2 linked regions of the Xenopus tropicalis genome follow. The protein of the gene in region 1 interacts with the protein of each later gene in a pairwise test. Links are inferred from orthologs where the notes say so. Each region holds a gene or a part of one and is shown in the gene's direction. Other genes may lie near its edges.

Region 1 (3,500 bases):
TTATATTGTCTGCTGAGTGCTAGTAACAAATAATATAACAGTCCCACAAAGTACACCACTCAACAGGTCTTGTGCAAGCAAAAATAATTGTTTTAATTTAATTTACAAACCCAATATATAGATAGCTACAAAAGCATTATCAAAATATAAAACAGAGCATATGCATTTATGCTGTATTTGGAGAATATCATGTTTTCAATATACAATGAAATATAATAAACTATAATGGTGGTAGAATGAAGTACAACGTATACAAGTTCAATAACATGCTGTTTACTTTAAAAGCAAGGCTAAAAATTACAGCTTATTTATGTTGTAAAATAATTTGTTTTAAATAAGCTTTACCTTATTTCTACAGGCCTTGGTTTCTTCAAAGGAATTGGAGCAATTTAATTCTGATATGCAGAAATTGCTTGAACCACTGGAGGCTGAAATTCAGCTGGGAGTGAATCCTACAGAAGAAGACTTCAATAAAGATATGGTAAATTAGTTGTGATGGAGACCTGAAATGGCAAACAGAGAATAAGAGAAAATACTTTGTTCAGTTACAAAAACTTCCTAAACACTGTTACAGTCTACAATGTTTAGTCGCCAGAATGTTGTTGAGCTCCAAAAGACATACTCTTCAAGTTTAAGATGTTATTTCTGTACATAAATGCAAATGCCTACAGTACATTTGTATGATACTTCAGTATGGTCAATTTATGTTAATGAATTCATTTGTAAGTCATAGCAAATTGGAAATGTTTCTTAGGAATGCAAAATAAGGATTTATAGAAGCACAAATGCCATAAATGGAGATTAGAATCTTGAAACTGACAGTCAAGTGGTATTTAAAGAATACTAATAACTATAAATTGCTATAATTTAAATTCTGTTCCATATATAGATTTTTTAAATATGTACAGCACAGAGATTTATCTCCTTTCTCTTTTATTTAAATGATGTAGTTAGTCGTCGAAAGAAAATATAGACTGCTGTGCCAGTTTTGGCTTTATTTTTATTTTTTTTAATATTCTATAAATCCTGAGCAGATTTAAATATGCTTAGATGTTGAATTCTTGAAACTTAAAAATAAAACAAAAAAACAAAAATAAACACACTAAACCTAAAAGCACTATATCTATGCTGGATCTAATGAAAAATGTATGAAAAATTAATGAAAAATAAATATATGTGTTTGCTGAAGAATGAAGAAAAATAAAAAATGTATGTAAGTCAGGTTTTCCATTTCTTCCAGGTTCTTAGTGGCATCATAAAGTTATGTTGTATATTAACTGCAGTGTAGGTTCTTGGACTAGTAGCTGGGGCATTTTATTGCCAAAAACTATATTCACAAAAAGAGAAAATGCTCTGAGCTGTTGAGGAGCAATTGTTGCTATTTTGGGTTGAACCTTAATGAGTAAGAGCCTTAACTGGATCACTAAATGGTAATACTAAACTGCCATAGATTAGTCATTATTAGTTATGAGCGAATATTTTCACCAGGCATGGATTCGCAGCTAATTTCCACATTTCGCCATTGGCAAAATTCGCCGCGGCAAAATTGGGCAGGGTCGCGTGAAAAAAAGCACGGGCGACAAAAAAATAGCCGTGGCCGACAAAAAAAACCGCGGACGACAAAAAAAAAATGAGTTTCGCGAATTTTTCGCCGTTTCACGAATTTTCTTGCCGTTTCGCGAATTTTATGCTGAAGTGCAACAGGACAGATTCGCTCATCATTATTCGTTATGTCAATGGTAGTGACAATGGAAGTGAATCTGTCTGAAAAATTTGTGAAACACGTTGAAGTCAATAGGCAACAAATTTTACACTTGACAAATTTTACATGCAACTTTTTTTTTCTTACTCCAAATGTATTCATGTCAGTGGGTGTTTTTTCTCTCTCCAAATGCATTAAATTAATCTGTATTTTTTGTATCAGTGACATTTTTGTCTTGGGGACTTTTTTGCCTCGGCGACTTCTGTCTTCTGTTGTGGCAAATTTTTTCATGGCAAGTTTTTGCTGCAATTTTCACCGATAAAAGCAGAATTTCTCTGTGAATCCATGCCTGGCAAAAAAAAAAAATCGCTCATCACTAGTCATAGGCGTTGTCAATGTTTGTGAAATGGTCTCTATGCATAAAGGAGCAATTTGTGAAGAGCCAGAAATGGTGGTATAAAGAATTAAATTGCTGCTGTGGAAATTCACTCAAATGTTAGCCTTAGTAATAACTTCTCAAGTATAAAGACAGCAACATCCAGGGTAACTTTACACAAAAATCATTCTGTTTTATTCGTAACAGAGGTTTCCAAGAGAGAAGTAAATGGTAACCGTGCTCAACAAAAGTAATAGCAACTCACATTTTTTGTTCATTAACCAACACTAAAATTCCTTGGTATTCCCTTCCTCCAAGTTGCTGCCAATTACTACATCATTACTGTAATGTAATAGAAAACATTGATTTGCACTAATGCATATCTAGCAGAAGATGCAAGAGCATGAACGTCTCCCCCTTTTAACATCATGCTCTACTTTATTGTATTTTATCATAGTTTTCAAGTGTATTTTCTTCCTTTTTTGTGATCAGAGTGAAGATAATGAAGAGCCTGTGAAGGAATTGCTGCTAAGGGGAAATAATCTTCAACAAAAAATTACCGATGAGAAAAAATGTGAAGAAATAAAACTAAAGCAACAGCTTTTACAATCAAAACACAATACTCTAAAGGTAACCAGTATGATATATACATAGAAGGTTGATATTATAGTAAAATATAAAATTTTTATATGATTTTGTGCTTTTACTGTTAAGGATACAGTATGTCTTAATAATGTTTAAATATTTTATTTATATATATATATATATAATATATATGGTTTGGATATCATGAGCAAATGGAAAAATAGCAATTAGACAGTAATACAAATTTATGGGGGTAATTTATCAATAACTGAGTTTGATTTTTTTTCACGATTAAAGGTTTTTAGTGCTAAAACTCACAAAATTTGAAAAATGGTTCAAAAACTCTAATGTCTGATATTTATTAAGTGCAAAATAAATTAAAACTCTGTGTAAAACATCAGCATCTAAAAGCTTGCAAGTTTATCTAAAAGTCAATTAAGTTTGGAAAGTATTCAAGTTTTTTTTTATTCGAGTTTTCCATGTTAATAAATAAGCAAGCATTCAAGTTTTTTTTTAAATGTGAGTTTAATACAGTTAGAAAAACACACTTGAATTCACAAACTCGAAAACTGATAAATAAGTCCATTAGACTTAGAATTTTTGAGTTTTCATTGTATTTTTTTAAGTTTTTTTCTTTGCTTCTACTTACATCTGTATAGTTGCATTATCTGGCAAAATAACCCAGTAAATTTGCAATGCTGTATAAAATGCTTAATTCTGTTTTAGAATAAAAGTTGAAACAATTCTATACATATTTTAAGTATAAATACAGCAGCACGTCACATACAGCAGGGGCGTCACAAAGAGTTTTTACACTTTGTTCATAGGTAGAACATC
Region 2 (4,227 bases), on another chromosome or scaffold:
CTATATTTTTATCTTTTACTTGGTTAAGAACATTGGCATCAAGTAATAAGTTTTTATGGCCAGATAGTAAAATATGGGCCCTGTAGGGCAACTAGAACTGTTATATCTCTTGTACTAAAAGGGTTAAAGGAGACATATAGGATAAAAAAAAACCCTCTAATCTTGTAGGTAATTATGAATAATATATGGTGCTGGTTTCACTTGGGCTAAAAATTAATACTATCTGTAAAAATGGCCCCTTTATTGGAGCTCCCTATAGATCCTCTCAGGTCCCTGTCTGTGTTTCAAATGAGGGGTGGACATGTCAAAACGTCTCCTGCCAGAAAAAAAATAGCAAGGGAGGAGCCAATCACAACCCTGCTGTAACACAAGCAAAGACAGGCTTCAGTTCCCTATCAGGTCAGCCTAGCTGCTGATTGGTTCCTATCCTACAGTGAAGTGGCCCGACTGCCAACAGCCCCCCTGCACAGCCTGAGAAAGGCAGCAGAAAGTGGAATAGATGGGCAGGGCTAGTGGGGTTTTTTAGAGAAATATTCAATAAATCAGTCTGAAACATTACTTTTTATAACACATTACTTCTATATTTAGATGAGCACAATTCATTGGCACAATATTGTTTTTCACACTAGGGGGCACATTCATGAAAACACGAGTTCAAATCCCGAATGGGATAAATTCGGATTGGATACGATAATTTCTTAAGATCACAAATATCACTAATATGCTTAAAAAATCGTATTAGTCACAATAATATAGTATTGGCAATCCGAAAGTCAGGAAATTTTTGTACCGAACGATCGTAAAATGCAGGAAAACCTTTCCGACTTTGATCCTTCTGTGCAGGACTTTCCTGTCAGTCAGGAAAGTGTTGATAGCTGTGGTAAAATTTGGCGTTTAGGTATCCCCACTGTGGTAAATGTTTATACGAAGAATATTATTTCTTAATATTGTGAGCAGCGCCCCCTTGATCCTGTTTGTATTCTGTAACCCTTGGTTGTTATATTTTTTCCAACCTACTGTTACTATGTAACCTCATTTGTTATAAATTAATATGAAGTGCTGCATAACTTGCTGACCCTATATTAACAGATGACTATGAATGCTAAAGCTGGGTTCAATCACTGCATACAGGCATCCCTGTAACATGTATAATACATTAGAAAGGCTGAAGTAATTTCTGTAAAACTCTATTAAATCTGTCTAATTCAGTCACTTTAAAAGGACCTACTTGTGGAATTCGCCAACTATAACTAATTACCACACGATCCACGGCTGGACTGGGAGAACAACCCAGCCGCGCTGTGTTTGCTCACCTAGGACAGGCAGAAAGGAATTTTAGAAGAATGGGAAAGTTGCAGGCGAGAGGATTTTTTTTCCTTGGTGGGCTGGGATGTGGGAGGTGAAATAGGAGGAGACAGAGAATGGGGGAGGAATTTGTGGAAGCATAGACTGTACAGCAGAGAGGTGCAGGTTTGCAGCGTGGGGCTCTGGTTTGTGATGTCTCTCCTTGTGTTCTTGTAGTTTGGCGATCCTTGCCTGGGGCTTCTGAGGAGCAGTACGAGTAGGGGAGAGAAGCCAAAGGGTCGAAAGCAGCAGTGGAAGTCACACGTAGCACAGCCTTTCGTCCAAAGCCTGGAACTGTTTTGCAAAAGCCTCTTGGAACCATGGCCACTTCTCCCTGCAGCAGCAGTGGGGTCTCCTCTTCGTCTTCTTCTGGCTTCAGCATTGATACGGGATTGGAAATTAAGACCAAATCTGTGGAGCAGACTCTGATCCCTTTGGTGTCTCAGGTAAACAGCCAAGGAAAACACTGGCGAGTCCAATCTGCTGTGAGGCGCAATAAGCGTTCTGTTAACTACTGATCTGCTTTAACAGCGCTCGGTTGCACCCAGCAGGGGCAATGTCTCGCTTGTAATTGTCCGCCTAGCGTAGATTCCCCGCCTGCACTGGCACACTGTAACAAACCCATTATATATGCAGCTAAAGTAACTTTGTAAAATATTGACCTGTCTATGCTTTATCTGTTTGACGACACTTATGCAGTGCTGGCGTTAGAAACGCCTGACTAACCTCTGCCCCTTTAGCTTTTGTACAACTAAAGAAGCCAGCCTGTCTGTCAGGGGATGCTGGGAGTTATGTTCACAAATATAAATGTTCATAGTCTTGTAAAATCTGACAAACCACTGGTATTTTAGTATAAAGAATTTAACTTTTTATAGTTTTGTGGTATTTATTTCTGGCCAGAAGCAGTGGATGGGTTAATGATAATCTCCATAGTACAGGGATATAGATTTTTTTTTTTTTTAACATATTTTGAGGTAAAAATGTAAATGGTTGGAAGCAGTGGAAGGGAAAGCTGTCAATTTAAAGTGTCTGTGCCAATGTTATGGTGTGAAAGCTGTGTTTGTGTGCTGAAGTAATGTGTGTTGTGTGCACCTAGGTGTAACTGTCCCTTGTGCACTGAGTTGCAGTGTGTGTATCTAGCCCCTTATAAGGAGGTGTGTGACTAGTTCTTTGTTGCTTATTCCTTTTGCACTTGCTTTCCTGAAAAAGGCTGACACTTGTGCAATAGATTCTTGTATGTAGAAGCTGAAGCTGCAGCCAGCTGCATTTAAACTAGAAGCTGTTTGTATTGGTCCTGATATACTAGAGCCTTGAAACTGATGTATTCTCTGAAATTATATTCAATCCAAGCACACTAGGGGTTAAAATAACTACTTCTTCACTTCACTACACCAGTCAAAAAGCTGGCCTCATTCTGCATCAGTCTGTCATATGTGCTATTTGTTATACTTGTATATAAGAAGAGTACTATGCTATGTGGGACAAATAGATTTTTTTCAAGTTTTATAAAGAGAAACTAGTCTCTTCACCAAAGCATGTTTTAATAAGCCTTTAAAATGTTAGCAGTTCATCATCATTTCTAAATAATGCATGTTATGTGTTAGTAAACGTTTCAGCTCATCGTGATTATTATCATTAGTATTGGATTCATTTGTACAGTGGCATCATATTCTGAAACACTGTGCATAAGGGTATATAACATTTGACATGCTGAAAAACCAACACAATAAATAATGACGGTAAGCACAGCAGGTATCCATACAGTGACCAAACCTTCAAATTAAGTTTGTGCCAAACAAATGGGTACTGCACAATTGACCAAGCACAAGGATGGTGAAATTATATTGTTCTATTGGGCTGAATAATAGAATCTTACTAAAAGCCAAAGGGTGCATTGGCAAATAAGATTTTCAGTTTTCTTCTTAAGAAGAAATTGCATGCCCAGGTGGTTGAGTAATATAGTCAAAATTATCCAAAGTTTCCAACCAAATATGGGTATAATTAGCTTGCAATACTGACTCCCCCCCCCCCCCTCTTGTTTCCAAGTGCCAGTGTGAGTAGGGTTTATGAGTTACTTGTTTATAAGCTAATGTTATATTTATCTAAAATCCAGCTTTGGTGTGCTTTGTGCACAAGGGACTCAAGACTTTTCTGGGGTTACTGCTAATATATGCTAGCCCTGATCTTTGTTTTCCCAGTGCTCAGAATTCAGTTTATGTTGCTTGTTGTTTAGCTGGCAGAATTTACAGGGAGCAGAGAATTGTGGCTAAGGAGGATTATAGTATAATGCCAGTTGTGTTGTGTGATTCAGGGTAGTGCTGGTTTGAGCTCTAAGGCTAATGTCAGACCAGGCGTATGGTGTATATTTTCGGCAAGCTGAAAAACACTTGCCGAAAATACCGCCATACACCTCCTACCTGTGCCTGCACCCGAATGAATGGAATACACTCAGGTGCAGGCACATGTAGCCGATATCTTCCTAAAAACTCAAGAGAATGCAAAGCTTCTAATTTACTTAATAATATACTTAACAATGCAGAATTTGTAAAATTTATTTTTGTCTTTGTAATTTGAACTCCATCCTCTAGTACAGGGATCCCCAACCTTTTTTACCCATGAGTCACATTCAAGTGTAAAAAGACTTGGGGAGCAACACAAGCATAAAATATGTTCCTGGGGGTGCCAAATAAAGACTGTTGTTGGCTATTTGGTAGCCCCTATATGGACTGGCAGCCTACAGGAGGCTCTGTTTGGCAGTAAATCTGTTTTTTTATGCAAACAAAACTTGCCTCCAAGCCAAGAATTCAAACATAAGCCCCTGCTTTAAGGCCACTGGGAGCAACATCCAAGGGGCTCACAAGCCACTGGTTGGGGATCACTGCT

The links.
Region 2: the proteins of dmd.3 (region 1) and ctnnal1 interact in binary tests that used the Homo sapiens proteins (3 or more experiments, as listed by UniProt). The two-hybrid records come from large-scale screens. The link is inferred for Xenopus tropicalis from reciprocal best matches to the Homo sapiens genes DMD and CTNNAL1.

Annotation. Positions count from the first base shown.
Region 1 is NC_030678.2:107,802,535-107,806,034, forward strand, and holds part of dmd.3 (dystrophin), read left to right. Parts: intron 1-358; coding exon 359-481; intron 482-2,570; coding exon 2,571-2,708; intron 2,709-3,500. UniProt on the Homo sapiens protein: Anchors the extracellular matrix to the cytoskeleton via F-actin. Ligand for dystroglycan.
Region 2 is NC_030682.2:77,054,042-77,058,268, reverse strand, and holds the start of ctnnal1 (alpha-catulin), read left to right. Parts: upstream 1-1,427; 5' UTR 1,428-1,664; coding exon 1,665-1,790; intron 1,791-4,227. UniProt on the Homo sapiens protein: May modulate the Rho pathway signaling by providing a scaffold for the Lbc Rho guanine nucleotide exchange factor (ARHGEF1).